Neodiprion lecontei: one gene and its partners. The protein of the gene in region 1 purifies or fractionates together with the protein of each later gene. This does not show direct contact. Links are inferred from orthologs where the notes say so. Each region holds a gene or a part of one and is shown in the gene's direction. Other genes may lie near its edges.

Region 1 (11,160 bases):
GTCGTTGTGATAACGAAGAGATACGTTAACCGTGTCTGAAGCGAAAGATGAAGAATCAATAACAGTGGTGAAAATATCTGTCAAAGTGCACAAAATTCTTACGATTGTATCGATTGTGCGTCTCTGAGTTTCTTTTTTGTTTTTGCAAGTGATTAGGAATTGGAAATTCGAATAAAGCCCACGTTCAGAATTTTCACACTTACGATGTGTGAATAATTTCTACAGTTATTTTCAAATTTTGGCATTGAATAGTATGTGTGACGAAAAAAAAGATACAGTTAACAGAAGGTAAAATGAGAAATTCAACGATTCGATCGCTCGGTCAATGTAAGAAGTAAAAATAATTCCAGCACAAAAAGTAGGAAAAATTGTCTCGAATATTGGATTACCGCATTAGTAAGGCAACACCCTCACGCATGCTTCGGGTTTCAAACCGGTAATGAAATTACAGTAGGTAACATGCCTCGTGAAATTTTATTCCCCACCTTTCGTTATCGCAATCTAGTTGTAGGCGCCGCGATGTCCTTAGAACGGGAACTCGATGCGATTCCATCCTCGTTTTCCTCGGATGTAAAATCATTAACCAAATCGTAGGTTTACTCACGTAAAAATTGTAGCCAAGTTTAACGCGATGAAAATAAAACAAGTTTGTAAAGGTGTCTATTGCATGATACCGGAAACGTTGCGAAAATTGTCGGTGGTGAGAAGAAATAATCTTTGGTGGTCAAGTTCTTTTGAGAGGACGAATAAAAAGTTCATACAAGTTCGACTGAGAAATTATGATCACAATTTAAAGTTAATAATATCTGACCGGAATGAAGTAAAAATTGTTCGAGAGAAATTTATTTTGAAAGCAAAAATTCTGTAACCAGAAAGGATGGTTGAAAAAATAGATGAACGAATTTCTAGTTGCTGCTACAGTTTAGGAAGCTAGCTTAAAAATTTCATAACCATGAGATTTTTTTCTTCTTCGGCGTTCGGATATTTAGAAAATTAAGGATAAAAGGATAGTTGTTTTTTTCCCTACAATTAAAATCTAATTGAATTTTTGAAATCCAGAAGCGCGATGCTGAACCTGAGGAAATTGCCGGACGCTGGCGTTCAGAACGGCGGTGGAAGAGCGGGAATACTGAGCATAGCATCGGTCGAAATATCAGAAGAAACTGCGAGCACGCGAGTGGTTGAAAAATTCGACAAACAGACCAAGAAGATGGCAAATCTCCCAGGCAGCGGTGAGACGGTGGATTCGCACGGGGTGAAACTGGGCCTTACGGAAGGAGCGACGGGCCCAACCGAAAGCGGAAGTAGCGGCGAGTCTCTGGAGGCCTGCGGTAAAGAGCTGAGGATAATTTCCCTCGACGAGATCGCCTGGCACGACACGCCCGACGATTGCTGGTTTGCGATTTACGATTACGTGTACGATTGCACCAGCTTCATCGGGGATCATCCCGGAGGCGATGACGTCCTCCTCGAGTACGCAGGTCGCGATGCGACGCTCGCCTTCATCGGCGCGGGCCATTCGAAATTCGCGCGAAAAAGCCTCGAGCGATATCTCATCGGCGAGCTTCCGCACTCTGAGAGGATATTTCGTATCGCTGACGGCGTCAAGGTTTTCGGATACTAATCGGAAGCTAGGAAATATTAAGAAAGGTGCGAATCGGTGAAGAATTTCTCGCATCTCTCAGTCGTCACTTCAGAATTAAAACCACTGAAGGTTCGAGCTTTTGACAGTTTCGGCTCGCGCTTGTTGTACGAGTTACTTTTGGGGCGAAAATTACTCGTTCAAAGATTCTCAGATTTCAGGATAGCGATTTCTTACTCAAAGCGTGTTTAGTTCCCTCTGATAGGCGTTTGAGACTTTTTTTTTTTAATATTGTTTGAGTTTTAAATGAATTTTTATTCCGTCCTCAATCGCGTGTAGTTTATCGGAATTTTTTTATGCACGACAGAAACATGCCTCGAATAATGAAATGATTTTTATTTATTTTTTTTTTTTTCGAGTGAGTTGATCACTCGTCAAAATTTCTTTACATTAATACCGCACAAAGCGGAATTTCATTTCATCGATAAGTTAATTAACTCGGTCAATCTCGACGGTTTAAGCCAGCGACAATTTAAACATTTACCACGGAATATTTATTATACTATTTTTGAAGGGCGATTTTGGAACTTCTGTACGATAAACCCGGTCTTTTGGTAAATTCAAGAAAACGAATCAATTTACATTACTGCACTCAGTCGCAATTGTATCTCGGTTTTTTACCGACTAATCGGCTGACGATTATGCATATGAAAAAATGAAAACATAAGAAATCGTACATTCGATAAAAAATTGATTTAATTAACGGTATTTCCGTGAGTGTACAGCATGTAATTACGATACAACGTATCATGCTTCGGAGAAAATTGATAGATGCATCATACACTTGTTTATAAGTGTATGTGTAGATACGTCTTCTTGGATGAAACCCATTGCAGATGTGTCAGAACCCCGTCGTCCGATCTTAGATACCAGTTCAACACGATAAAAAGCAATTTTGTACTACAAACGAAGAAATTTTTTTTTTATTTATTTTTTTTTTATGAAATCAATCGTACCATACGTAAAGTAATATATTTATTGATTGCCTATTTATTTTTATTTCTATCGAATATATTATATGTATTGTACAAACGAGCAGCGTCTCTTTATTTTCAGCTTTTGATTACATAGACGCTGTTTTGTTTCGGCACGAGAACCAGATGTTTTCTCCTTGTACTTAAATACTAATACTATACTTATATTATACTTAGATCGTATAGATGTTGATCGCTAAGTAGTTTTGAAAAAAAAATCATAACGGCAGTAGGTATATGGAAAAAGTTACCAGCAATAAACTATTGCTGCACAGTATTACAAAGAAAGTAAAGAGAATACTAAGGTAGATATATTGTACATACATACATACATAAAGTTTTTTCTTTAGTAATAAACGTAATGATGATATTACCATTAAGAATAATTTATAACCGTATTGTTGGGAGATAATTGTGCAATACGAGTTCATGTATATGCATATCAATATAAGGTTATTTGAATTCTCATTCTTTATTTTCGTTTTTGTCGATTCATTTTTTACTATTGTTCAAATTATCGCGTTGCCAAATATGTCAGACTTCGATTTGTAAATTTGTTTCGCATTAACTGGTGAACATTTCGTCAGTCGATATTATCAGTTTAGAACGCAAGATACGTAATATAGTTTATGATTACGTACAGTGGTATACTTGTTATATCTGTCATGTGAACAATAAAAAAAGTTGACCAAAATAAAACGATTAAGCGTGCGCTGACTATTTTTCCTCATCTCACATCTTCAATACATCTGCAATCGCGTATATGTATGTTATAAATATTACACTTTAGCCGCTCTTGCGTTAATTGAACTTTCAAATTATTTCCTCATCAATGACCCTCGCCGCAAATGATTCGGATCAACTCTTAGTTCGTGAAGAAGAATTGCAATATAAAAAGAAAGGGATGAACCGCTTGGAAATTTTGCATTTTTCATGCAGAGCGTTTGTTGAAAGTCTGAAATTTCACTCTCATTTTTTCAAAAGGAATGGTGGAGACATTCGATCGATTAAAAAATTGAAGCAGTACTCAAGTGACTTACGTATCAAGTCTCGGATTGCGGATAAGCCAATTTTTTTTTTGTCACGTACACGTACTATTATACGTGTATATTGAAAGTGGATGGGTCGCTCAAATGATCGAATAACGGGACAAAAAAAAGGAGATAATAATAAATAATAATAAATGAAATGATATTATTATCATTATATCACATACTTATATTTTTTTCAAGTATAGGAGTAAAAAGTATTGACGCTTTTAAAAAAGTTTATTTATTCTCTCGCTCTCTCTGTCTCTAGTGCCTATATACATACGAATAATATCAGTTGTAAAGTCGGTTTAAAATCTTCGTCAGCATGTAAACGGGAAGCCCCATCACGGTAAAGAAATCCCCGTTTATCTTCTCAACAAGACAGCCACCGAATCCTTGAATCCCATATCCACCAGCCTTGTCCCTGTACCACATACATAGCTAATGAGGAAGATGCAACATCGATCGATGGATTATCGAATCATACAATCATGGAGCAAAGGTCCAATAAATAATAAAGATTTAAGCAAGTTACTTATTCATGAAAATATAATTACAAGGGTTCCCCGGTCTTGACGTACGCTTCGATTTGGGCCTGCGTAATATCGCCAAATGTTACATCAGTCTTTTCGTAAAATTTCACCTCGTCCTTGTCTGTTTTTAAACAAACACCCGTGTAAACGGTGTGCGTTTTTCCAGCCAGACTAAAATCAATTAATTATGAGAATAATAATATCGATAAGAGTTGTGGTTACATTATAATTAGTGGAGATTTTTTTCAACTTTTTGAAATCAACTTTCACGATGTTCTAATTAGATGAGAAATGAAAAATTCCACGAGACAAAACTTTTTGCAAACAGTTGTCAGCGGGTTTGGAAAATACAATGAACGTAAATTCAGAGAACTCATTTTTTTGTCATTCGTACGTATGCGTACTTAGCACCGTATCAGCCTTACATCGACAGTATTTTAATTGCGTCATTTGAATCCGTTGGTTTCCCATAGATAACGTCGCCCATGGTGACGATTGTGTCGGCGCCGATAACGAGTTTAGGTTGCACCTCATCGCCCTTGAGTCTGTCGTAAACTTCGATCACTTTGAAATAGGCTAAATCTTTGACATAGTCACCGTGCGATTTGTACTTTGCTCTGTCTAAATTTTCATCGTACGTCGAAGGAACGACCTCTGGTTTTAAGCCCTTGAAATAATTGAAGAAAGGATTTGCTGTTTCAATTGAAAATTTTTAAAAATAACTACCTACAACACTCGTGTCGAATTTCAAATTATGTACAGTAAATTGCATTAATGTTTTAACTTTCGGGTGAGCTTGTTTTCGGTCCGAAACAAAATGCGACTTCGATTCTATACGAATTACTTGACAGTGACTGGAGATGCAGCTGACGTAAGAAAATTCGATGCATTGTCACATAATTCGTATATAAGCGAAGTCGCATTTTATTTCAGCCCAAAAACAAGTTAAGCGGTAAGTTACGGCCTTTATGCATTTTACTGTACGCTAATTTTTCCACTCATTTTATATTGCGATCTTGAAAATGCGATTAACGATATAGACTTCCTTTTAAATTGTTCAACTTCTTCTCAATCTAAACGATCTTGCCGTACTTCGAAACCATGGTATTCTACTCCGTGTTCGAAACCCTGTTTAAAACTGCAATAGTTCACGAAAAAGCCACGAGAGAGCGCTGAAATAAGGGCGCATCACGGTGTAGCAGCATGGCGTTGAGACGTGCGCGTGATCATAACTCATTCCAATGGACTTAACTACATTCTCTGCGACTTACCAAATTCTCGATTATTTCTTTCCGCCTTGGAGAGCCGCTGGCTAGAATTATACGCCCGGCTTGTAGAATCTGTTTTGTTGGTTCCAACATGTTGTTCAATTAATTTTTCCAACAAAAATTTGTCTACTATGTTGATTTTAGTCTGATTTGTCTTATCGAATGCTGAAATCCACTGCTAGGTTATATCTACGCAGCTCTAGCCTCTAGCGCATGCTGTTTACATGGGCATACGTATATTTTCATATTTTCCAGCTGTACCAACCTTGCAATTTCAAATCGATAGCTAAGCTGTAACTGCGAGCTCCAATCAATCAAATTCTAATCTACGTAATGGTTGATTTCAATGCAGAAAAAATCTAAGTTGCTGAAAATGATTGCGTGTATTAGAGTTAGTAAAAAAAATACATGGATTTAATTCTTAATACACTGTACAAAATTGAAGTGAATCACGATAAAAATGAAGAAATTAGAAATGTGAACAATCCAGTCGCTTGTTGAGTTTCGTTCACTGATTGTCACGTAATATTTGCGTTAAAATCCAGATTGAAGTTTCCCTCTATCAGTAGCGCCAACTGTGTCAGTGCTAGAAATAATCGAAGACCACTCGAAGCTAATCAACTGTTCGGGATGCGATTGTCGTAGGGACTTTGATTCCATTGGACTGGTGAGGTTGTAAACACGTTAACTTGCCAGTCACAAAGCGACTGTGCGTGCATTCTGTCAGTATTTTAGCAGGAAGATACATCATGTCGTCTCTTCTGATCCCCAACATTCCGGCGCCCGGTTTTTCTTTCGATAACTGTCAGAGGTGAGAAGCTTCAAATATGTAAACAGACGCCCAGCGTTCAGAATTCATCCCAGAGCCTCATTCCCTCCCATCTAACCCCGAATGTACCAAACTAATCGCATTTCGTAGTTCATCTAAATGCAATGTTGCTGTGTCACGAAAAGCAACAAATTCAATACCTAACCTCAATTTTCTGAACATAATTTGCCATAAAAATATTAGAAGAAACGCTTTCTCGACGTATTTTTAAAATAAATGTCAAATATATATTTTGGATAGATATGCATAAGTTTGTAAATGTTTAGCATGTAATTGAACATACTTTTATGTATATATGATATACCTATTATTTCTACATATATGTACATAAATATTTATAAATTTATAATCTGATTATTCATTCTGGCCTGCGATCCAAAATCTTCAAAACTTCCCAAACACTAGGTGTTTGGAAAAATTTGGAGATTCACCGTTAAATCAATACGTTTGTATTACTACGAAGTCATTAACAACGGACCCGATTTGATCTACAACGATTGTTACATTTGCACAGAAATGCGTTCCTTGCTCAGAAGGGATATGCAGCTCCAAAGGCAACGAAGACTGGAACGACAATTGTCGGTATAGTATTCAAGGATGGTGTCATCCTTGGCGCAGACACCAGAGCAACGGAGGACACAATAGTATCGGATAAGAACTGCAGCAAGATTCACTTCTTGGCTCAAAATATGTAGTAAGTATGACGAAGAGGAGGGATTTGGACTCAATTTGGATTAAGCGCTCAACAAAACTTTTATCATGAATCAGTTGCTGTGGTGCCGGAACAGCAGCTGACACCGAAATGACGACGCAGATGATCGCGAGTCAGCTGGAGCTACATCGCCTCAACACTGGTCGTGTCGTACCTGTCGCAACAGCCAACATGATGCTGAAGCAACTACTGTTCCGTCACCAAGGACACATTGGGGCTGCGCTTGTCCTCGGCGGTGTTGACCTGATGGGACCCCATCTCCATTGCATATATCCCCATGGGTCAACCGACAAACTACCATATTGCACAATGGGATCTGGATCTCTTGCTGCTATGGCTGTGTTTGAGAGTAAATGGAAGCCGAACCTTACAGTGGGTATCTTCAAGTTTCTCTGTGCATATTTTTCATCAACGTAGTTGATTCCCGTATTCTTTTTTTATTTATGAATGACGATTTTTAATGTAACTTGTTTTATAACCTTGTTGGTAAAAATGCTCTGTGAATTTCCGTGAGGAATATCCAATTTTGACACACTTTGCAGAGAAAGTTCAGAAATGAATGAGAGTCTTGCATTGAAAGTTGGGTGAATTTTTTTCGGAAATTTTGGACTTTAGAGAATTCGGTAAATTAGTATTTTATAGCAAATCACAAGTTCTACGGGAAATTTACACGATCATCATGGTGAAGTCTTCCAGAGTCGGAATTTTTATAGAAATTTATAAAGCGTTTTGCACAGTATTATCTTCAGTAGAGAAAAGCCTTGATTTGTGTAACTGGCTAATTTTTTTTTTTTTATCAATGGATTTTATCTATTGAAAAAAGGTGTGCATTCGACCTCCTGAATCTCAAAAAGTCTTTTAATTGAAAACCGTGCATCTAATATGTTGGACTATTATTCTAAACGCTATTCTGAACGTCTTTGAATACGATTCTAATTTCAACTGGACCTACCGCTCAGAATTTTGCAATTCTGAGGTCAGGGTATGCTTGTGAGACTTCTAAAACCTTCGGGGTGATCGCGTCACTTTTTTAAGTGCATGGTCAGCCAATTAGAATGACGAAATTTTGCGGCCCAGAATCCCCTGCAGTGATTCAAAATACCATTATTTCGAACATCGATATCAGAACTTTAGGGTGCTTCTACTGTTTCTGATTTCTATTGCCTTGATATTCACCAGGAGGAAGAGGGTAAAAATCTCGTTGCGGATGCAATCAGGGCCGGTATCTTCAACGATTTGGGATCAGGATCGAACGTAGACGTCTGCGTGATCCGAAAGGGTTCGGTTGACTATATCCGGCCTTTTGACGTGGCCAACAAGAAGGGGCAGAAGCAGGGATCGTACCGCTACAAGCAGGGTACGACGGCTGTGCTAAGCAAGGTTGTGCGCCCTGTGATAATCGAGAAGACGGTGATCCGCAGGATCGAGCAGGAGTCTATGGACACGTCGTCGTGAACGGAAGGACGATGGGAGAATAAAGAACGTGAAGAAACCATTTAAAATTAAATACACAAGGAATAATCGTTAGTTTTGTTCCGTTTTTGTATTAAATATCTGGAAATAAATTTCAATCATACTCTGACTCTGGCCTATAACCTTTGAACGTCGACAAAACACATTAAAAAAATATTCTCGAGTGCTGATTCGTGAGGTTTTAAAACAGGCCGGCCGCCTGTTTCAGTCTCTGCCTCCGCCACGCGGGTAATTTCTCGAATTCCGACGGTTGGATTTTGAAGACCGCTAAAAAATCGTCATGTGTCAAGTGCATCTCTTTTCGTTCTACGTTTACGCCGGCTGGCAAATTTTCCGGTTCATTCCTCAGCATTTTCAGTGGATATTTGACCAAGTTGTCGAAACTCGACGTCGCCTCTTTTTCCTCGGCTTCGTTACCGCTAGTTGGCCCCGCCATCTGCTTGTCCAAAAGTGAATTTCTCAGAGCGTTGAAGCTCTGGTAATCCCTAAGCGAGTTGTGATTCCAATTCTCGAAGAGGCCGATGAACGTTGGTGGCTCGAAACCTGCAAAAATGGTTCAAATTCACCGTAAGATTTGACTTTCGAGCCCGTTCCTGTGTCTTTTCCCCACCTTGCCGGATCACCGTGATGGTCGTGTTCCGGTCCCGACTAGCTGGGTGTGTGTATAGAAATACCGTCGCCATTTCGACGCAATCCTTGACCGTTTTTACCGTCGACCAATCGCCCAGCCATACCCATATCGTGTTTCCGGTGTCCAAGAGCCATGCCGCCTCGGGCAGCAACGCGGCTTGTCCAAATCCCAGGATTTCCTGACCTACGAAAGCTGCGGCCTCCACCTGACAGTGGTAAAGTCGTTTTTCACACTCCTCAACGACGTCCACGGTTTCGGTTGAGTAGACACTTCGTCCTGAAAGTTATGCGAATTGTCCAAATTTTTTTTTACGGGGTCATTCTACGAAATTTAGCAAAATGAACAACTTTTTATTGTATTTTAAAAATAGGTCGAATGGTTAAGATTGATATGCAATAAATTGTACGTCGATATTCAAAATATTTTTTGAGACACAGCATTTGGCATGAGGTAATTTTTTCACTCAGTATATAAGTGCTCTAACTTTAAACGTGTTTTCTCGAAACTATCTTTTTCAAAACGATGTACACGATATCGCGATCTGTAATGATAAATCGACTTGAAATTGGTACGTATGTTCAAAGGAATAGTACTTTCCGGCTGATGTACGATTTTACCGTCATCATTTTTTTTTTTGAGTAATTATTAATAACATAATAAAATAATAAAAAATATCAAAAAAAATTCAGGATTTTTTTTCTCTTCACCGAAAAGGAAACAACGCTCTGTCTTAACACATACATGAGTTGACATGAAAAAATGATTAATATCGCATCAGCAGTCTTTTCGAAATTAATTTTTGAAAGTTGGCATGTCTCGACGCTCACAGTTTATGGTAACCCTTTAAATAAAATCTGTCACTAAACTAGCTCAAGCCGATTTCCACCGATCTCGAATAGTCTCGGTAGGGTCTCTACCCAAGCACCGCGACAAAAAGTCTCTTTACCTCCAAGCTGCGTCCAAAATCCGTCGTCTTCCTTTCCCTCGGCTATCAGCGGAGTTGTGCTGGACGCCAAACGTCTCGAAGCTTCTCTTAAGTCTCCGGTGCTTCTCCCCCCGCACCAGACGACAGGAGATTCTGAAAAGAGGATGAAAACCCCGCTGGAGTCGAGACTGCTGGACCTAAGTGGTCGCTCGACGGCCTTCGAGGTGTACGGAGTCGATCCAAGCACCCTGACGAGGTACTTTTTCGGGGCTGTGAAAATCGTGGAAAAGCTAATTATTCATCCTCCAAATATTTGATTTCTGGATCTTGACGAGGTACAATTAATCAGAATGTTCAGTGTACGTTTGTCCCTGTGCTGACCGGACAGAATGGTCAATCTTCCACCGTATATTTGCAGCAGGTGAGACGGCTCTCGTCCCTGAGATGCTACCACCAACTGACCGCAAGACTCTTCAATTAATTTACACGCGAATTCCAGGGCAGCCTCTCTGTCGACGCTGGACGAATGCGCACCCTTCCAACAATAAACCTGCAAATGACGATCGGATTTAGAATCATTCAAAAGCTTCTATTGGTGTGTTTTGGAGAAATTGTCACAGACTGAAAAGAATTTCCGTTCGGAATTGAAAAGGATACTTGAAATCCGGCTGAAATGCCTTTTGGGATCTTTTAAGGGACCTAATTGAGGTCTCAGAGTCTGTGGAACTTGGTCATTTTCCGGAATTAGTCGAAACTCATGTGAGACTGACTCAGAAGAACATTAATGACTTGAATTGAGTGAAATGCATATTTCCATACAAGAAAATTGCAAGATGTGATGAGAATTCAGTGAAAACCAAGTGTCGTTCAGTGTGGAATATCATGACGAAAAATGATTGAGAATACTCAGAACAGGCCCTTACGGTACAAACTTTACAGAACATACGTAAAAGTCATTGTGTAACAATGGAAGCTGGATACACGGAGGAAAAGAGAAGGATAACTTACTACGACTCGACTCTTCCTTCCGATGCCGTATCTGTACTGCATGACGTAACAGGCCTCAGCGTAGTAAATTCCTGCGTCACGAATCGAGGCCGTATCGCTCTTTGCGACCTTCCAAAAAGTCCTATCGCCAGACC
Region 2 (11,160 bases), on another chromosome or scaffold:
CAGAAGCAACTGGAGTATCTCATTTACGTTTCTAAACACAGTTCAGAGTTTTCGAAACCTACATCCGGTAATAGCGTCAGTTCATTTTGATTCTGTTATTGAATAAAATTGAATGTTAATAGAAACTCATGCTACTTATCACACGTTTGTTGATGTCGACACTTTGTCGCACTTTAGGCGAATAGCTTGCATAAGATAGGGAATTTTCTCGTAATCCATGAGATCATTCCACATTAGTGAACTTATGGGAATAACTGCGTGTCCTGTATGTTTCTCCAAAGTTTTGAGCATCAATGACCAAGGTCCTTTTAGGCGACGAGAATTAATGGCGTATGCATGGTCAGGCAAATTGATCACCATGATCCTGAAATTACAATAACATAATTTAATTCTCGAATAATTTCGCGAGTAGGGGAATACATCTTTGTTTTTGCTGAAGTTAATGAACACTTTTTAAGCATTCATAAATATATAAAATTCCTATTCTTACACTTGGCTTTCAGCAGGAGGTACAATTTCTTCTATGTGCGTTACAAGTTTGTATTCTTGTGCCTCTTGTAGAAAATTCAACGCAAGTGGGTGTCCATCTTTCACCATTATAACGTGATCTGAAACGAAAATTAAATTTATTGATATATTCACAGCTTTGGAATATTTTCTAGAGAGAAGGATTATGCTCTTACCAATATAATGCCCGAGCCTAGTCCTCAGGTTAGATGTAACAAATTGCGAACCACCCATAGCTTGTTCTAAAGCAGGTAACAGAGAGGAATTTTTGACGGATGCTGTATTGTAACATATGGCAGTTTCAAGTAGACGTTCAGGTGGAGATTTTCCGACTGGGGTAGAACAGAGTGTCTGTATACTTTGATATAATAGTAAGAAATTCCAACTAGTCTGCGTTTCATTTTTCAACATTTCTGTCGACAGAAAATTTTCGCTGAATATTTCTTTTATTACTCGTGGATTATAGCAATCGAGTACCGCCATACTAACGGCGAAATCCAAAAGTAAGGCCGATGATGTAAACTGATCCTTGTCGACAATCTTTGATATGATCTCTTGCATAGTCTCCCAGAAGATTGGTTTGTAATCGGCGGTAGCCAGGGCTATAACCAAAACTCGGATGTTAATTTCGCTACATTTACTCAAAACAACAGGGTTTTGATAGCATTCAGCAGCGACATAATCGATTAATCGTATTTGTGTGTGGCCTATATTGGACAATACTTTCAGTATGGTAACTCCTTTTTCAAATTCAATATTTCTGGCAATGCAAGCTCTTGCACAAGCGTCTACAAGCTCCTCATTATAAAAAGTCTTATTCTCAAAGAATACCATCTGTTTATACATTTTGCCAAGAATAAGTTCGATATCATGAATACTAACAAAGTTCATGTAACGTATGAGAATTTGTTGTACATTTCGAACTACTTCTTCGTATCCAGGTGGAAGATACTGCAGATCGCACATATATTTGAATATTTTACTTGCGTATGAAACCTTCATGTCCTGTCCTATTTTCCGTATCGAATCTACAACATTTGCTATCAGTTCATGATGACCAGATTTATTGCGTAAGAATACAAGCGCGGACATCAACTTGCCAATATTCTCTTTATCTAACATATTATTCTGCAGTTGAATTTCACATAATGCTGGCACCGCAATTTTAAGAGCATCTGACAACGGACTGCTCTTGAAATGTTCCAATTGGTATTCAAGTTCCAACAGACGACGAAAGGACAGATTGTTCAGGGATTGTCTGATTACTTGAAGAAGAGATTGAGATATCAAACTGGTATTTGAAACGCCAAGGTACGTAAGGGTCTTCAAAATGTACACAGCTTCGTTTCCGTCCAGGGAATTGATATCGTTTAACAGAACTTTACAAAGCTCAAGAAATTCCGCCTTCTCTACAATTGTCAAATCAGCATTGCTCTTCTGCCTGTGCATAGTATCCAATATCTTGAAAGCTGCCAACGAGTGTTCAATCTTCAACAGCGGACGATATGTGGTAACAATTTCAAATATTTCATCCTTTGTTCGCACCGTGGCTAAGGCCTGTAAAACCACATCGCTTTCGCTGCCTCTAATCGACGGCTCGCGGTTCGATCTGTAATCTGATAATGTAAGTAATAAATTTTATTCCCCAGAAGCCGGTATTGATCAACAACGGAGTGAACAATCAAACTGTACCTTTTGAGTATGAAGCGTAAGAGAACGAAGTATTCGGGGTGTAAAAAAACCTGGTTGTATTTGGTAACGAGATTCTAAGATTACCGGCAGTTACACAAACCCGAAATATCAGTCTTGCAATTTTGTTCATGATTTGTACCGTCGATTACGATTATCAACACTTACATCCGTATAAAAGCCGCGGCGTTTGGTGCTGATGAAAATTTATAGGTTAGAATTCGCTTGATATATAATTTCGGTACTAACGTAACTGTTTATAAAATTAAATGTTACTTAGATAATAGTAACGACGCAAAGCAAGCAATAACGGCACGTAGTCCAACAATTTCCTCTTACTTATCACCAGAAATACATGAAAAAAATAAGCCGCATTGTGTGTGCGGAAAATCAGCTGTTTTGATGAGTGGTTTGGTTAAGTTACGAAATTACCCGACAACGTTGGCAGCACTGTCGCTAATTTAGTGACTTTGTTTATCTCACGCTGAATCCGCTGGATGCGCTGGATCACTGATCGCTGGATCGATAGCGATGATTTAAACAAACTGATCTCTACGCGTTGAATAGTTATTGTTGTAGAGGACAAGGAGGCTGAATTCCAGAAAGACGTTAAATTTCTGGTAATTATATCGCAGGTTTATTACTATTGCTGTTTTCTTTTCTTCTCATACAACAGTTAACAATTTAATTAATCTTTACACTACTTATGATACATTTGCAGCCTCCGATAGATAGTCACACTTTAGGCGAATAGCTTGCATGAGATGCGGAATTTTTTCGTGCTCCTTGAGATCATTCCATATCGCTAAATTTATCGAAATAACCGCGTGTCCAGTTTGTTTTTCTAAAGTTCTCAATAGCAATGTCCAAGAGCCTTTCAGGCATTGAGAATTATTTGTGTACGCCCTGGCAGGCAATGCTTTCACTATAACGCTGAAATCATCAATTTATGTATTAATCATTTACAGTAAATGATGATTAATTTTACTTAGTTTCACATGACTTTCACAAATGTGTAAGGTCACTTTCAAAATGGTTACTGTTTCTGAGCATTTGAGTACAAAAAAAAAAATTAAATTCTTACACTTGGCTTTCAGAAGGCAGTGGAAGTTCTTCTATGTACGTTATGGGCTTGCATTCATTCGTTTCTTCAGGCGGTAAATTCAGCGCAACAGCGTATCCACCTTTTCTCATTATAACGATATGATCTGAAATGAGAATTGACTGAATTGGAACGTTTTTGGGTTTATAAATGTGTTAAAATGACAATTGCTGTCTTACCAATATAATGCCCAAGTTTGGTCTTCAAGTTACATATAACATACTGCGAGCCACCCATGGCTTTCTCTAAAGCTGGTAATAGAGAAGAATTTTTGTTCGTGGCTTCGTTGGCTTTTATTGCATCTTCGAGAATACGTCTAGGTGGAGACTTCTTAACTGGGATTAAACAAAGGGTCTGAACACTTTGATACAATAGTAATACATTCCAGTGCGTCCTATATTTGTTTCTCGAGAGTTCAGATTCAAGGAAATTTTCACTGAATAGTTTATCTATCATATTTGGTTCAAAGCAATCAAACACTGCTAAGTTGACGGCAAACTCTAGAAGTTTTGTTGATTCAACTTGATCTCTGTGTACGATCTCCAATATGGTTGGTTGCATACTTTTCCAAAACATCGGTTTATAGTTGAAAGAAGCCAGGGATATCACAAAACACATGACAATTTTTTTGCTACATTTAAGCAAAACCCCTGGGTTTTGAAAATATTCAGCTATGAGATAATCCATCAATGGTACGTGCATGTGGCCTAAATAGCACAATTGATTCAATATCTTAACACCTTTTGAAAATTCCATATTTCCAGCAATCGCTGCATTTCCACAAGCGTCTAGAAGTTCTTCATTATAAAATTTCATATTTGGCCTAATAACTATAGCCTTATACATCCTGTTCAATATATTTACAATTTTGACGTACGAAAGTTGTTTCATGTTATCTGTAAAAACTTGCTGCACGTTTTGCACTACTTCTTGATAATTACGTGGTAAATATTTCAAATTGGATAAAGTCTTGAATATTTCCGTCGCTTGTGATACAGTCATGTTTTGTCCTTGCTTGCATATCGAATCTATGATAAATTGCATTATTTTACGATCGGTAATGGAGTTTTTGTGCATGACATTTAACGCAACTGTTAAATCCTGCACATCGTTCGTATTTAGCATTTTATTTTTTATTCTAGTTTCCAAAATTATTGGCACTGCGATCTTGAGCGCTTCTGATAAAGGACTGCTTTCAAAATTACCCAACTGAGTATCAAATTCGAAAAGGCGTTGAAAAGATATGGTATTTAAAAATTTTTTGATGTGCTCGGTTAGAGACTGTGAGATAAAACTGCTCGATGGAACGTTGAAATATCGTAAAACTCTTAACACGAGTACAGCATCGTCTCCACTCAACGATTTTACATCATTCGATAGAACCTTGCAGAGCTCATGGATGTCCATCTTTGGTATTAGCGAAGTATCTACCGTGGCGTTCTGTCTGTGGATAGTATCGAATATCTTGAAAGCTTTTAGTGAATGCTCAAACTTTAACGACGAGCTATACGTCTTGATTATTTCTAATAACTCGGCCTTTGTTCGTGCCATCGATAAAGCCTGGAGAATAACGTCGTTATCCTCACTTTTAATCACCGGCCAGGTATACCTGTGATCTGAAATCAGAAGGTTTAACTTTCGTCTCCTGGTCACAGAAATTTTTAAGGAATGTTAGAAATCATACAGTTGTAAGTACCTTTTAAATCCGAAGCGAGACAAAGCGACGAATTTTGGGTGTACAGTGCCCGTGCTGCACTTGACGCAGAGTTTCTGAGGTTACCGACAGTGACACAAAGTCGAAATATGAGTCTCGCATTTTTATTCATAATTTATATCATCTATAATGACGATCAAGAGTTACCTCGATGTAAAATACGAAACACTTTAATATTAGTGACCGAACTCGAGAGGTTAGAATCAGTCACATGTATGTTCGTATTACCAACGAGACCGTACATTGGAGTAAATAATAACTGAAAAAGAGTGGAATCGTAACGAAACTAATAACGGCACGATAGTTAAAAATCGCTCGTCACTTCTCATTGCAAATAATTAAAGACAATAAGCCGCATTCTGTGTATGAGATATCAGCTGTTATTCAACTCGGATCCATGTTGAATGCAACACATCCACAAACCACGTTATATTCTTAGTATTCTTACACCGTGCACAAACTCATTCATAAACGTCATGCGCAGAGCCAATTGAGAAAAGAGTTAGATGGAGTTAGACACATGATAGATCAATATTATGTTTTTTCATCATGAGTCGTCCAACTGTCATCTGTTATTATTTGCCCATATGCCACTGTCATTTAAGTACAGGTGAAGTGACAGAAATTGAGTTTGTTTTCGTTAACAAAATTGAAAATTGTCGCCATTGTACGAAAAAATGGAATATTTGAACAGGTATAATTAGGGTGTTTATCGTTTTGACAGATAGAATTATTTTTCGCTCGAGAAAAAATATGTGAACCATTCTGCTCTGATCCCCCTCTCTATAAGTTTCCTTGTTCGTGTTAATGAATACACGTGGCGGGCTCGGTGGGGAGTCAAGCAGTGTCTCAGTTCACATAATAATGCTAGTCAGCAAAGCGGCTGAATAAGCTTTCTGCTATACAAAAGATGACTCGGGTAAAATGAGGAGTAGGAAATAAGCAAGTTGTTACATACTGACGGAATGACGCGTGATTCCGCGTAGCCGTTGTTAGTGCCTTACAGTCGATCAACGAGGATAAGTATATTTGTTGATCAACTATCACGCGTAGTATAAAAAACGCGACCATAAGAAGAAGTCAAAAAAAAGAGAGAAAGGAAAAACAACAATAATATACATACCTTGAACAATGGACGAGGACACAATGGACAATGATTTTGGGGACGAGTTAACCATCGACTCGTCCACTGGAAGTTTGGGGTTTCAACCTCAGAAAGAGATATTTTGCAACAAACTTTTACCTTATGCTAATATCATCGATACCGAAGCCCAAAGTCGGTTTTCAGAGATCAAAGCCAATCTTGGGCGAGCGATATTGTTGCGAGAGGTTCGATTTGGCTGTAGCCTCTGGACCGCGAGATTATGCAAGTAAGACAATTTAATGTACCTCGCATCTCCCTGACGCAGGCTAATTTTTACCCAATAATGAATTTGAGTCCAATTTGATTAAACTGCTTCTTTTATTAAGGTACATCAAGATCTATGGGATGAAGTTTTCCAAGGAAGATCATATTCTCCTAGTAAAACTGATGTACGAGTTGATAACCATCCCTAACTTGGAGCCTCATAAGGTTGCTGAATTTGGAGCAACGCTGATAATATTGCTGAAGTATGCCTAAATTATCGTTATGACGAAGGACAGTTCATAATTTTTGGTCTATTATCGTCGAATCGTATAATTTTTTTATTTCTGTCCTGCAAAAAATGTCAGTAGTTGGAAATTATACGATAATTTGCGCGACAAGTAACAGTCATTCTGACTTACACCAAATTGAAAACTTTGTAGCTATATAGCCTTGTATAGGCTAATTGAAAAAAAAAGACAATATGCTACCTGCTATAACGGTAAACTGTTGAAACAATCTGTGCCAACTCCGCAAAAGCATCAGAGCTAGAGCCAATTGCCAAGCCGATAGCAAAGTCGCCAAACATAATCATGTCATGTTGTAACGTATGTTATTGGCTCAGTTTAGGTAACAGAAATTTTGTTCAATTCTGACTCGTTTAGAAAGAAGGAATTAATCTCTCCAGAGGAGTTGGAGCTGCCGTGGAAACCGCTTTATGACTTGACATATCGCATCATGGCCACAGGAGAAACGGCCCTTGGGATGTACCGGTATTTTTCATCCATCGAATCAACCCTTGATGTTCTGGTTCATGCTGCCAAAGTCTACTTCCCTGTGACAGCGACCCAAGAAATACTGGACAAACTTAGACCGTGCCTCTATCCTCTCGATTCTTCTATGATGGCAACGACGATGGAAACCTTGGAATGGTTTTTGCCACTGAAGTTACCGCCAAAGTATCACTCGATAGGGCATCAGTTGTGGTTTGAAGAGTTCATGAGCCTGTGGGAAGTTTGTCACAATGCGCCAACCTGGGAATACGAAATAATGTGGCTTATGTCCAGGCTTGCTACTAGCAATATCGGATACATTGATTGGGAGCCATACGTTCCCCTCATGTTTACAAGATTTATTCGCTACTTGAACTTGCCAGTCACATACAAGCACATGCAAAGCAGTAAACATCACAAAATGGATACATCGTCCATCGCTATATGGATCGTCTCAGTGCTGGTTAGTCTCTCTAATTTACATACATTTTTAATTTCTGTGTTCAATACAATCAATGAGCATAAAAAATTTAACTATACATTTTTATTGATTGAAACTGACGAAATCACTGATTGTTTCTTCAGGGTCACAGATCATGCGCGCAAGACTATTTAACTAAGTTTTTGAAAACAATAGAGAGCTATATTCACCCCGCTAATTATGGCCAATGGCACTCGAAGTTGCGGGAATTGCTCAGTAAACTTCCTCTGCATTTCATCTTACGCCTCCACAGGTAAGAGCACTGCACATTTTGAATATCTTGGCAGCATTATGAAATACTGTGTCATAACAATGATTTTAATGATGAAAATGATCTGTTCAGGGAACGCTATGGCAAGCAGACATGGGAAGAACCTGTACCTGAACCATTCAAGCTTACCGACGAAGATGTTGATCGATTTGTTTTGAGTATAAAACCGCTTGCTATGACAGCAATGTTTGGAAAAATGGGTGGTATTGACGCCGGTCAGGCTCTACAATATTTGGCTACCATGCGGCCTAAGTTAATCATTCCAGATGTCCTAGAGCGGTTGTACTCTGTACTGGATTCACTCACGGAACCACACAAATTAACGGCATCCATGAACTGTGTTGTGGCAGTAGCTCGGCCGCTAGTTCAAGGCTTGAGAAATTACAACACAGGTAAATAACCATACTCTTCTGATACGATCGAAAAGTTCGAAAATTTCTGATGTTAACAACTTCCACTTTATTTTTTGTCCACAGGTTACGAATATGGAGAGGGGCCATCCCAAGTTTTACCTCTCCTGTTCTCAACTCTGCCTGGTATAGATCCTAACGACGCGAGAAAATCATTTCTCACATTTCGATTGATATCTGTATTCGCCGGGATAATTCCGATAGTGGATTCGTCAAGAGTGCCAGACCCTATCAGTGAAGAGGATAGATTGATCTGCGAGTCAACATCGCGTTTTGAAGATTTTGTTCTTCAGTTTTTAGACAAAGTCTTCAGCCTGATAGATTCGAGCTCTCTAGAATTTGTGAGGCTTGAGAGTCATGGCGGGGATGGAAAGAGCAAGCTTGAATCATTGTTTGAAAATGCCTTAGCTGGCGGCTGTACTGGTCTTCTTGGCCAAACTAGCGATGCTATTTTTGATTGTGCCTTACGAAAACTTCGTTCCCTTGCTACCGAACGTATTTTAGAAACTCAGGTTGCCGGCCGACTGGCAGCCGTTCTTTGCCGCTCATTTTCTCGTGGTAATGGACAGCAAACGCTGCGGGTACTTCTTCCACCTCTGGTTAGGAACATATTGGATGCAGTCGGACAAAGCGACGATATTGCCAAGGAGGAAAATTTAGATAATCAGCTTTTGTACAGTATGCAACTACTTGCCGAAACTCTTGATACGAGGGGAAACTATCTACTACCTTACATCGACGTACTGATCGAAGTTCTTGACAAGACGTTATACTTGAAATCCAGGGAAGGAAATCAGACCGCTTCTCGACTTTTGAAGATACTTCTTCTGTCTTTGTCGACGGTTACACCTGTTGATTTTAAGTCGTCTGTTGGGGATTACAATGATCCTGAATATATGTCAATTAAGGACTGGGGACAGGCGGTAGATAACAAAGATCTCAATGTCAAATGGTATGTACCTGGAGTAGATGAAGTGGCAGCAATTAAAAAAATTTTTTCAAAGTATCTACCGCCTGTTCTGGAGAAGATAAAGCGTTTTACTGGAGATAAAAACACATTAACCAGGTAAGCCAAAACATTCCTAATCCATATTTGTATCGACAGTTTTGTAATGTGAGCAAAGAATAATTGTGGAAATAAAATTGCAGAGAGGAGCTTTTGACAAATCTCAATATAATGAGTGCTATTCTCATCGGCTGTGAGGCATTTTTGCCAGTTTGGTCCGAACCTCACATTGAACCGGTGGAATCAGCCTTAGAGTGGACTTCTTTTACACCAGAACTCGGAATTCAAGGGGAACTGTTGATGCCAGATGGAAGTAACGTCAGGCGGCATATAGTGAATATCATGCGCGATTTGCAATCCAATATATTGAGGGATGGTGAAGACGATATAAAAAGTTTATTCGTTGTGATTGAGGTAATTATGGAAGTAAAATTCTGAAACTGATGAAAAACTGACTCTGGACTGTTGCTAAAGGACAGTTTACTCTAAACTTTTTTAGATCTGGGGTTCTCTGCTGTTGGGGAGAATGCGAATAGGCGAAGATCACGAAGTGAGGCGAAAGAATTTCATGATTGGTAAAAAAGTAATAGAGGATAAACTGAAAGGGAAGCAAAGGCACATGAGAACATTGATGGTGCAACGTGCGGCGATGCAGCACGAAATTCGTATATTGGAAAGCGTGGTCTGTCTCACAGAAACGCACAAGTCCATTATGTTGGAACTATTCATATTGGGAACCAGTAGGTATGGAGAAGTCCGATCAAGGGCGCAGAGTCGACTATTTACCGCCTTGCAATATTTTCCGTGCTCATATGAGTTGATTGTTCCCGAGATAGTGAAAATATTGGGCAAAGACAGCGAAGAACATCATGAAGCATTCAAAGTAAGGCACTCTCCGGACTTACGAATAATCGTTCAACTTTCCTAAACATCTTTTTCTAACGAAATACATGTTTTTCTTCTAGGGAGTCTTATACATTTTGTTAGGTCCAAAGCAAGCTCCGATAATCACAAAACGAAATTGGATATTATTGAATACACTTTGGCCAGCGTTGGTTTTATCTAAACCTTCTGAAAAATTGTCTGTAATTCGTTTGAAAGAAAAGTTAGCGGACACGGTACGCAAGCTTTTTCCAACAATTTCTATAGAAATTGAAATACCATCAAGATGTATCGAGGCAGCAAAATTATTATGGGATAACTATCCTAAACCCAGTTTACTACAGCCGACCGAAATTGAAATCGAAAAGGGAGTGGAGAGCTTAAAGAATTTAGGAAAAATAAATGTAGAATATTACAATAGTCTGTTGGACAAATTACTTAAAGCTATTATCGAACAAAGTCTCCATTGGAGGCACAGGCTGATGGCGATCAGTCTTATAAGGGACTTGGTTCATCCCGATCAGATATATCCTGCGAAAATAGTGCGCTTCTTTCTCAGCTCATTGATACACGAGTCTTTGGAGGAGAGAAAAATAGCCATCAAAGCCATGCTTTTCATTTTCAAACAACAGAAGAGAAAACATCCAAAGGTATTTTGAAGTGATTAATTTTTTGGCAACAAAATTAACAGTTTTTACCAAGTATAATCGAAATAAGTAAATAAAAATGATGATTTTTAGGTAACGATAGATCGTTCCAGGTTCGAGAATCAAGGTGAGTGTCAAAAATTGAGCCCTGGGAAAAGGCCTGACAATGCTTGGCTTCAGTACAATTACGAAACCCGTCCTCTGACCTCTGAGCAGTGGGAAGAGCAGAGGTTCATGCACCGTGCATGGGTAGGATATTACACATGGCCAAAAGAGGTTAAAGTCTACGCTCCATCTTCTCAGCAGCCATCGTTAGACCCAAATATAAGAGTA
Region 3 (10,588 bases), on another chromosome or scaffold:
CCCTTCGTTTGCATCCCGACTTTTTATAGAATCATGAATACTACTAGCGTCCGAAACCGTGCTTGGCCTTTGAGTCAATTCCAAGTACTGATCATTTCTATTACCAATACTTTCGCGAAAGGCATCAGAAGACAATGATTTGTGCAATGCATTATTTGATTCCTGATAATTTATCGAGGATATACTTGATTTTCGGGCATGATAGTTCAGTTTACTATAACGACGGTGACGAGCTGGAGTCCCCCCGACATGCTCCTGCTGAGGATTGGTTAGCAAACTAGGTCGTGGTGTTAGTAGCGGATTCAGGTGATACAACCATTCTATGAAAAGTAAAATTTTTGAATTAGAGACTATGCCTGTATTGAAGTATAGTGCAGTGTTCGGAAAGGTAAGTACTCGGGATACTAACGTTCCTCTGTCACTCTAGATATTCCATTTAGAAGGAATTCCTTGTCCTGAGCTTCCAAGACCAACATGCCTCGTAAAATTTCAACCATTTCTTTTCTGGCACAAGCCTTGGCACGCAAATAATAAACAGCAACGCTGAAATTTGTTGCACCAGCATTATTTTCCAATATCTTAATGGTAGATAGTCGAAGGTTCCTTATTATTAAAGTTCTAACTACTTACCACATTGCAATTAGTATTGCAGCACCGATACCAGGTTTTGCTAATCCTGTAACAACCACCCAGAATTGACTGTCATTTCTTAGCTGCAGTACGCCCAAAACAACCATTTGCCAAGTGTACTCGTAATCTTGAAACGGGCCACAATCCTGAGATTTTATATTCGTCACAATGTATCCAAGAACTGTGAGTACACCAACCATTGACAGAAATGCTAGTGCCAAAAAAAGAGTCTGCGTTTGCGCAGCTCTCCAGGATCGCGATGGTGGTTCACAGTGATTCAAGACTCCGTATTTCTTGATATAAAAAATCAAGATCAATTTTGCAAGAATAACGAATGACATTGGTGGACTAAAGTAGAAAGCTATCCAGAACAGTGTCTGATTGTAAGTCAGATTCAAGGTGTTTCGAGCTATGTCAAATCTTGGTGCCCCAATTTTCTTCCATCCCAATATGTAAATCTTTGATCTTATCATTTGAGCCATGAATATCAGGACTATAGATATTATGAAGTCAATAATAATTAGCCGATATATTTCCTGAGTAAATGCAGTCTGCCAGCAATTTTCGGTTGAATGAGAGAGCCAAAAGGCTAGAAGCACTCCAACAATCACAACTTCCATAATATAGGTTCTTATCATTGTTACGTAGAGAGTTGTGCGTTTACTCGCATAGCCTTCGTATTGAGCCTACAAGTAATAATAACAACAATGATTAATGGAACAAACGTCAACAACTCATAAATGAACGCCATCAATTTCCACTTTCAGCTTACAAAGTATGCATGCCTATGTATTATTACATTGAATACTAACCAGCCATGAGAAAAACGCTGGATATAGGTTCATGACAGTCGTAATAGATAATGGTACAAGCAAAGTAAAGACGGTTTGACTGTAGTCCACTGTGTACTGGGTCAATAATTTCCATAGTAATACTCCAGTGCTGGACATAATAGTAATTACTAATACCGTCACAGCTACTTGAATTAACAGCACATAAGTTTTGATGACACAGCCTTTGTGTGATTGTTTCTGGGCTTCTCCCAATAACTCCTTTAATTCTCCATAAATGGTAGCAGACCGTAAGTTTGCTGCTTTGTAAGAAGCGATGCCGAAGTCCCAACCACAAAATATTTTGCTGGCGTACAGATTAGTCAAGCCACCGGCAGTTTCAATAAAATTCTTACGATATGAACGTGCAACTCTAGAACAAGAAGTATTTGGATTTACCAACTTTGATTAATAAAATATTAATAAGGTGCCAGCAACGTTTACTTGTTTTTGCTCCTCGCTTGAGTTGCATGAAATGTAAACATGAATAAACAATTCGATAAATGATAAGACGATTAACACCGTAAATAAATGCATACTAACTTGATTGAAAGAAGAAGAAAAGTGAAAATATAACAACATAACAACGTCATAAAATACGCTGATGGAATGCTGTATGTCAGGTAAGATCCTTTTGAGACTGTTCCATTTGAATAAAATCCGTAATACATTATCGAATCCGTAAAAAAGCCCTATAACGTGAAATTACTTGCATTATTAATTAACCAAAATTTTTTCGTCCAATGGAACTGGTTGTTGGCATCCATCTCTATTTCATTGTCATACTGAGGTTCATTTTTCAGTTATTAAAATTACCGTTAAAAGTAACAACTAAAGATATAATTGATTTAGTCAAGAAAGCTGGATTATTTTCCTTACACCTGATCTTTCAAGTTTTCAATAACTCTTATTACTCTTAGTCAGCAGACTTACAGTTCCTGTTAAAAGATCCCATCCACTGAATGCCGTATCTGAATACGCTTCCAACAAAGACTGTGGTAGGACGATGAATCCCAAACTAAAAGTATAAATCATGTTAAATCAAACTACACGTGTGTACGATTCATATAGTTGAAGATACTAGTACCTCAAGACACAGCATATGGTGTTTGAAATGAATAACCAGCGCAGAAATTTGAAGTAAGTAGCTACCCCGCTACCAAAATGACCCTCGATTGCTTTGATCGAATGATACCACAGCTCCATAGTCGATGCGACCTCACGCATTGCCATACCAATCTGCATTCAAAAGTATTTTTAGGCGCTAGTATGTCTAATGAGTTGTTATGTATGAGTGACAGTGCCTCTTGTACTGAGAAATGATGGTAGAATGTGTGGTTAATTTTGAAATTAGACTATCTCTAGCTAAAAAGTTGAGGCCTCACAAATCCTGACATTGAAATAAATCATTCTTTAAAACAGTTGGACATAGTTTACATAAAACTGTGTAACTTAGAAATCGGCAGAGCTTAAAAATATTCATTTTTAAAGTACAAAATCCTCTGGACTTAGTTTAAACAGCATGAAAAAATTCTGCATTCCAATTGTCACCTTGGTAAAACTCATACTGATTTTGTATTTCAGTCGCTTCCAAAAGCTGATCGGTTTCCTTTTCTTCTTATTTTCGCTGACCGATGTCGTAAGCCTAGCCTTAATTGTCCTTTTCACAGTAAGACACTGTGGCATGTCTCGCAGTTTCTCTATTCTAAGAAGTTCTGATATAGGATCATCGTGCATTAGTTCGTCGTCCAACTCCATGCGGCTCGCTATGTTCATTGCACGATCTTCTGTTGGTGAGACAGGTTCTCGATGAGCTCTCATGGTAGCATACAGAAGCGCGTTTGTCCGTCCGTGCCGTTCATGTTTTGTCTCCTCATTCAAACCGACTGAAATAATTGAAATGTTTGAAAAAACACAGGACAAAAGTATCTCGTTAGATACTCTTCTTTCATTGATAAATAAACATAGAGACTCAATAATAATATTCACCTAAAGTTCTGGACGGCATATATCGAGCATGCTGTGCATGTTTCCGTTGTACTGATGGACGCCTCATTGTTAATCCCCAATGTTTTTCCACATTTGATACATCTAATTCGCTGGATGTATTTGCTATAACAATACATCGAGACTTCAGTATGATCTTTTGAAAATGTATCGACAAGTGTTAATGAATATGATGAAGCAAGAGAAAGGTTCTATAGAATACCTTACACAATGCTATTTTTGCATTTTAACAGTACACCAAACGGATTCATTGAGTAGGACTTAAAAAATGGTTGTCTATGAAGTACGATGAATACGCCTAGTAAGATATTGATGAACACTTACGAGGTATCCCTCCAACATCATTAGGTGGATGATCATCTTTTGAGGTACCTGGTTCGTTCGTCATCCTTAATTCAATTAAATCAATTCTCAATAACTAACGCGCTGTTATTTCCTGTTGCTAATACGTGAATAGATCGTTATCATAGGAAATGTATTATCTTATCAACACGTATCCGTTCGACTAATGTCAAGTACATGCCGTCGGCCGTGAGACTTGAGTCAATAATTTGAGATTGTTTATCTTTGAGAGTTTATTCCACCAGTGATTCGGTTACTCAGCTTCAAAGTATGCATTTGTTTATCATTCCTCGCACGTCTCAATTCTCATCTGTCACAATTCGAGGCTTTTAAATCGAATCTAATAATCGAGTTGCTGAGTCTCTTCGATTTTACAGGCGCGATTATACAAGAAAGGCGAATATTCAAAAATACACCGGATCAACGTTGTATCAAATCGTTGAGTCATTTTATCTTACCTTACTCGATTTTAATCAAGTGAAATATTTTTACGACAGCGTATGCTGCAACGTATTGATTTAAAAATTAGAAATGCTTAAATAATGTACACAAAGCTACGTCTTTCAAGGATTAGTGATGTCCGTGCATTATACAATTTTTTTTTAATCATAGTTAAAAACGACTGATTTCATGTACAACTCTATAGCGTGGATCGCTACATATTTACAAACGTTTCCACATTAATGTGTTAAACTATGTATACTGTTTTGTATTAATAAAGACACAGTTGCGCGTTTTGGTTGCAGCGTTTCGTGAAATCGAAGATGAGTCAACTGACTTGCGGAATATCAAGATCAGATCGAGGTTCATCGTGTGAATGGAGAATACATAAAGTGCTTGGAATGATTTTAGTACCATTGGAATACGCCCAATCATTGAATTTTGGCCAATTTTCAGTGAATAAATGTGAATATAAATGCGATTGTTGTTTACTGAAGACACTGATATAGTTAGTTGGTTTTTGATTTGACTAGAGCGTTCCAAAACTCATTGACAACTTCCTGTTGGAAGCAGAGACCACTTATAGGTTTGAAGTTGCACGTTTCAACGAGGAAAAGAGTGTGGTTATATTTTATAAGTTATATTTTTTACTAAGTGATATAATGGCTGATTCAACGTTGCAGAAGGTAATTTCTTTGTTAACAACACCTAAGACATCCGTCTAACCCTTCCTGCGCAAAATTTTAGTCCCAAGAGTTCTCAGAAAGGTGAAATATAACTGGTTTTTAACTAGTGCCAACATCGACCGGTAGGGTTACAGGTTACAGGCTCGGCTTAGTATTGTTTTGTGTTTCACGATGGCACCAACAAATGTGGTAATTGTCAAACTTTCCTTACCCATTATCGATCATAGTACACGATCCTAAATTTTGTAAAATCCTTATTCACTATTCACTTTCTACAATGCCGCTTAAACATCACCGTTCTACTGTGCTATTAACCTAACCTAACCTTAAATCGTGCACATTGCGCCGTACGTACGATATAAATTGGAAAGTTTAGTCCGCATACTTGCCTATTGCGGAAATTTTTCACGTTTTTTTTACAAATATGTAGATTATTATTGTTACATTTACAAGTCGAACCTGCGTTTCAGTTGACAAAACTTTTAACACTTCCTTGTGATTATGACGCGTATATTTTTCAGCCATGACCTGCCGTCATAAAGCGTCGCTGCCTTATAAAAAATAGTCTGTCGTTAGAAATTTTCTTCATGTATCACACAAGCTGCAAGGTATAATTTTGTCTACATGTCCTTCGAATGATATCATACTTACCTGCAGATATTAGATATTGATAAAAGTGAATTTTAACGAATTCATTTGTTTGACGACAAAAATTTCTCAATAACCTGCCAAAATTCGTAAGTCATGTCACCGCTAATAAAAAATGACAAATTAATTAAACATATACCGTATTCAGGCGTAGAAGTAGCGTAAAAAATTTAACAACGTAAAAATCACTTAAAATTACCAGAAATGTTGCCGTTATTTTTTCGCCCTGTTCCAAGCAATGAATCAAAAGGTTCGAAAGATGCTTTTACTGAAACTGAGGTATTTGAGAATAAGTTGAGTAGAACATGCATGAAAGTGAATCTGCAACTGAATTTATACAAAATGTTAATTATTAATTCTCCTTGCAGGTCCAGGAATACAAAGATTCGCTTAAAACGAAGGTAATCAATATCCACTTAAGTCGAAACAGCAGTTAATGAACCTTGCAATTTGAATCGAAAGTTTAACAGCAGTACCGAATCTATTTCGAACGCTACACTGATCCCCTAACCATTTGCTATTAAAATGTTTTTTCATACAAACATCAGGCGGAACAATTGATCATAAAAGGCTTTCCTGAGAAGATAATGAAGCTTAATGAGCTTTTGGAAACACCGAGCTTCTGCAACCGTGAACTTTCCGATGTACATCAGGATTTGAATGTCCCTATCCCAGATCCAATTTCGCTTAATCATTCCGACGATGGACCAGCAACAAAAAAACTGAAGCTGGAGAACAATTTGAACGATATTGAGGCCAGCGGTACCAAAGTTATGGTTCTCCCCAGCGGACCCGTACCATGTAACAAACCACTCTGTGAACTGATTCGTATTGCCAAGCCATACATCAGGCAACTTGTCGAGGATTCCAACCTTGTAAGTATATTGTTGAGGAAAAGGTTATAAAACCGCGAAAAATTGAAAAAAACAACTCCTGAGATAATTGAGAAGAACATAGCATATTGATTAAAAAATCTATGTCTTATGTAATGCTAGTTTCCCCATATATGTTAATCATTTATTATCTCGGTCGAGAAATGTCGCTCCGTTTTGTTAATTTATTTTCCTTCACATTGTTTCTACAGCTGAAAATGTGGATTTCGTTTATGATTCCAAAAATTGAAGATGGAAACAATTTTGGTGTCTCAATCCAGGAAGACACTTTAGCTGAAATCCAATCAGTTGAAAGCGAAGCTGCAGCATTCTTTGATCAAATTTCGAGGTAAGAAATGTTGCGCATGTCTTGTAAAACACGGCATAATTGAAAATGATGACATATAACAATAATGAAATGCTTTTTTCTAGGTACTTCATATCAAGAGGTAAAATTGTAAGTAAAGTAGCCAAATATCCACACATCATTGACTACAGGCGCTCGGTTCAAGAATTGGACGAAAAGGAATACCTCAGCTTATGGCTGGTGATGTGTGAAGTTCGTAACCGTTACTGTTCGTTACACGACATAGTTATAAAAAATCTTGAGAAGATAAAGCGGCCTCGATCGACAAACGCTGAATCCTTGTATTAAGGAAAAATCAACATCGCCCTCACATATGAGTGCAAACTTTATTCTAATTTAAACCTCAGAGAGTATGATGTGGTAAAAAATGATGAACGATAAAATTAAGAAATCTTGCTTTTCGATGAAATCAGAATTACGTTACAAACATCTTACCACTACCACCAGTACTTGAACCCTTTCATTATTGTAATGTGTTCTAAATCTAAAAAAAAAAAACAAAAAAAAAACTGTTTTCGCCATGTATGGGTTGTAGGATCTGAACATGTTTTAATTTGAACTAGGTTCCATCCACTGCATAGATAAGTATATGTATAAACACACTTTTGCTTATTTGCTTGCTTTTAAGTAAATAATTTCTGTTTATTGCGAAATCTATCTCCTTTTTTCTTCAATTATCAAAAAGGTTATCATATATCGTTTAACTTATCGTCCCTGTGGGGTTTGATATGAAATTCGATATTTATGCTTCCTGCATGTATGTACATGCGATCAGCAATTGAGAATCGGCAAATTAATTTTCTCGAGTGATTAGTAAATCATGATCATCGACTTAATTTATAAGAATTTGAGATTAATTAGACTCTAAAAAATAGACAGACTCCATTGAATAGTAATTATAAAATTACGACCCAAATCATCATTATCAATCTTACTAAACCCAGAAAGAAAACTTCTTCAGCACTGGAAAATATATCTATAATGCAAAGTATCTTAACTTGAAGTACGTAATTTTTTACAACATACCCAAAAGACATGATATTTGTATTTATTAATATAGGTGTGCTCTTAATGAAGATTTGGCAATTGAAGAAGAACTGGAGAAGGTTTACAGAGTGAACATTTCTTTGATGTTCACATTGGTATATTTCTTGAAAATTTACGGTTCAGAAGTATTTTATTTATTTGCAACAAGAATTCAACTGTGTCAAAAGTAATGAAAGTACTTACAGGGCGTAGAATAATTTGTGCCCTCTACTTTCATCTGATACTTTTTACCATCAGTATTGAGTCTACGATTTTTTTTATTCTGTCAGAAATCACACAGCAAAAATATACCTAAATTTCTTTCTTTCGTTATGTCGGTATGTATAACGATCATAGATCTGGAAGGTGTTGTGATTGGTTTCGTAATGGCTGATTATATGGCTCTAAATATAATATACATATAGCATACGTATAACTTTTGATTTAACCTTGTATTTTGAAACGTGAAACGAATAAATGAAAATAGAATAATGTAACAATACACGCGGTGCTTGTAGCTATAGTATTATAAACATCCGATTTCACAAACTCAAAGAGGACAATTTTTGTTTTGGTTTTGTTTGAAGAGAAATTTTTCATACAAAATTGAGCTGTCACAGAACAAACATCGAATTTCAGCAAAAAAATAGAAAAACATTGTTTTATGAATAAAAAAAAGGAAATTTTTAATTCAGTAGAAACCGATATAATGGATTACGAAATTGAGGCATCGTATCTAGACCGACTGCAGCGCGAGGTAAGTGATTCGCAGTCTTCATTACAAAATAGTTTGTCAAAATGAAATTGTGAATTTGAAAATCTTTCCAATCAAAATTTTTAATGTTCTTCTGAATATAAATTCGGCAGAATGCGACAGCGTCTTTTTTGAAGAAAAGTATTTTTCCTGTAGGCTCTTACGTGTTTAAATGGATTTCCTAACAAAGTTAAAGCCTTAAATGATATCATTGATGCTTATGTACCGGAAGTTGACGTTAAAAGAAATCCGGAAAACAGAGAACCCCAAATACGTGTGCCTTGCATTCCGACTAATAAATACGTTCCGAATGAAACCAGTTTGGAGAATGACCATGTGAATTGTAAGAAAAAAAAAGATATACGTACATTTTTAATTATCGCAAGTACGGATAATCTTGTTAACTATTGATTCGTCTAATATTCACATATCTTGTTCAACCTTTCGGTACACAATCGTGTTTAACTATGTAATGATAAACCAGCAGATGCATTATGCTCCGAATCAAACTCAAGCCGACCTATTCAACGTCATGGATTATCAAAGAGAAATCATCACCGTTCGCGAAGATCAGATCAAATAAATTTTCGACGTCGTCCAGGACCTCTGGCACGTATCCTGGCTTTTCTATCAAACAGTCTTGCGGCTTGTACAAAAAATACAGTAATCAGGCCGACTCAATACATCGCAAATCATGCTCTCACCATGCTAAAGGATTAGTAAGACGCGGTATTTTGTCGAACTGCGAATTTTACACCCTGAATAACCGAAGTTATATCTTCTTAATCGCATATCTATTCACATAGCTTAATACAGCGCGGAGATATTATGAGCGCTAAATGTGGCGCTTCGATAATTTGGTCGCTACCGGAAAGTAGAGCGTCGATGAAATTAATGCAGACTGATCTCGGTTCGACGCTCGACAATTGCATGAGAATAATGAGACCAGCCGTGGCTCAGCTTATCGCGGATACAACAAAAGTATTTCAATAGCTTTTATACAGTTTTTATGAAATCTAAGATTGGAATCTCAATTCTTGCGAGTTGTGCAACATTATGTTCTATGTATAATATACCTATAATGTTACAGTTGAAACGCTGGCTACAAGCGCTTGCTTTGAATTTCACGCCTCCGACGCCTACTTTGATCCATGCTATACGAAAAACCGAAGCCATTGACGGCTGGGCTTACGAGCTTTTCTTCCATTTGAAGTATCTTCAGGAAAATCAGATCCATAATGTCGAAAAGGTATGTGAATCTGTCATTTCATTTTCTTCTGCTTTCATAATTTGTCGCATAATATTGTTAATTACTATGTAAAGATAGGTTTTCAGTTCGCATGAGTAGATTGATACCTAATTGAGATTTGACCAAATTATTTTTAAGAATGCTGTCCCGGGATTGAAAATTAGTGACAAGTTGAGAAACGTGAATCTTTGTCATCGGCTGGTGCGGTTACGAGATAATTATGTCTACCTCTATGAAAGTTTATTCAGCAATAGTCAATTTTACAAGTTATCCAGAGATTCCAAAAAAATATTGGAGTGACTATCCGCAGTAGGCTTGAGTTATACCCATTTACGGTGTACCTATAGTCAAAGCATTTACGCATGTCCGTCAGTATCAAAATCGCTTGGCTTCTATGTTATTTGCATTAGTTTGTGTACGATGTACTGTGAGTGGTCATGTCGAACCATTGTTAATAAAATATATGCACTGGATGTGAAGTCGATGTCTCTATTTACATTCATAATGCATATACTCATGTTGTTTTTTAATTGATGTTATTCGGTGATTATATTTATTGTAGATCATCTCAAAATTGTTTTTACTGTAGATGAGCGAATTTTTTTTCGTTGATCGAGTTTGACTGCATGCGCATACTTACACTGAGTGGAAAACCCGTAGACGAACTCGCAAAATTGGTAAACATCGGCATTTATCCCATCAGAAGATACAGTAATAGTCAAAAATGAAAAAAGAA

What was found.
Region 2: the proteins of proteasome subunit beta type-7 (region 1) and proteasome activator complex subunit 4A purify together in Homo sapiens (affinity purification with mass spectrometry; 3 studies listed by BioGRID and IntAct, counting the BioPlex papers as one, with this or other methods). This does not show direct contact. The link is inferred for Neodiprion lecontei from reciprocal best matches to the Homo sapiens genes PSMB7 and PSME4.
Region 3: the proteins of proteasome subunit beta type-7 (region 1) and proteasome activator complex subunit 3 purify together in Homo sapiens (co-immunoprecipitation; 4 studies listed by BioGRID and IntAct, with this or other methods). This does not show direct contact. The link is inferred for Neodiprion lecontei from reciprocal best matches to the Homo sapiens genes PSMB7 and PSME3.

Annotation. Positions count from the first base shown.
Region 1 is NC_060264.1:22,141,550-22,152,709, forward strand, and holds proteasome subunit beta type-7, read left to right. Parts: upstream 1-6,101; 5' UTR 6,102-6,197; coding exon 6,198-6,259; intron 6,260-6,791; coding exon 6,792-6,971; intron 6,972-7,045; coding exon 7,046-7,361; intron 7,362-8,168; coding exon 8,169-8,444; 3' UTR 8,445-8,571; downstream 8,572-11,160. Other genes in the region: uncharacterized protein LOC107221434, read left to right, coding at 460-590, 1,060-1,624; dTTP/UTP pyrophosphatase, read right to left, coding at 3,939-4,071, 4,205-4,351, 4,606-4,847, 5,452-5,541; villin-1, read right to left, coding at 8,644-9,005, 9,073-9,369, 10,040-10,288, 10,382-10,568, 11,027-11,160. UniProt on the Homo sapiens protein: Component of the 20S core proteasome complex involved in the proteolytic degradation of most intracellular proteins. This complex plays numerous essential roles within the cell by associating with different regulatory particles.
Region 2 is NC_060263.1:3,115,467-3,126,626, forward strand, and holds the start of proteasome activator complex subunit 4A, read left to right. Parts: upstream 1-5,624; 5' UTR 5,625-6,143; coding exon 6,144-6,382; intron 6,383-6,482; coding exon 6,483-6,623; intron 6,624-7,022; coding exon 7,023-7,593; intron 7,594-7,715; coding exon 7,716-7,864; intron 7,865-7,954; coding exon 7,955-8,274; intron 8,275-8,358; coding exon 8,359-9,358; intron 9,359-9,441; coding exon 9,442-9,712; intron 9,713-9,797; coding exon 9,798-10,181; intron 10,182-10,263; coding exon 10,264-10,830; intron 10,831-10,920; coding exon 10,921-11,160. Other genes in the region: uncharacterized protein LOC107224312, read right to left, coding at 139-364, 491-608, 684-2,123, 2,200-2,329; uncharacterized protein LOC107224315, read right to left, coding at 2,901-3,129, 3,281-3,404, 3,478-4,914, 4,995-5,124. UniProt on the Homo sapiens protein: Associated component of the proteasome that specifically recognizes acetylated histones and promotes ATP- and ubiquitin-independent degradation of core histones during spermatogenesis and DNA damage response.
Region 3 is NC_060261.1:43,019,272-43,029,859, reverse strand, and holds proteasome activator complex subunit 3, read left to right. Parts: upstream 1-5,589; 5' UTR 5,590-5,788; coding exon 5,789-5,863; intron 5,864-5,952; coding exon 5,953-5,985; intron 5,986-6,132; coding exon 6,133-6,459; intron 6,460-6,668; coding exon 6,669-6,805; intron 6,806-6,888; coding exon 6,889-7,111; 3' UTR 7,112-7,397; downstream 7,398-10,588. Other genes in the region: transmembrane channel-like protein 5, read right to left, coding at 1-320, 410-543, 631-1,316, 1,443-1,833, 2,004-2,152, 2,394-2,478, 2,548-2,699, 3,012-3,346 and 2 more; uncharacterized protein LOC124293036, read left to right, coding at 8,559-8,606, 8,760-9,012, 9,091-9,322, 9,410-9,584, 9,694-9,852, 9,991-10,152. UniProt on the Homo sapiens protein: Subunit of the 11S REG-gamma (also called PA28-gamma) proteasome regulator, a doughnut-shaped homoheptamer which associates with the proteasome. 11S REG-gamma activates the trypsin-like catalytic subunit of the proteasome but inhibits the chymotrypsin-like and postglutamyl-preferring (PGPH) subunits.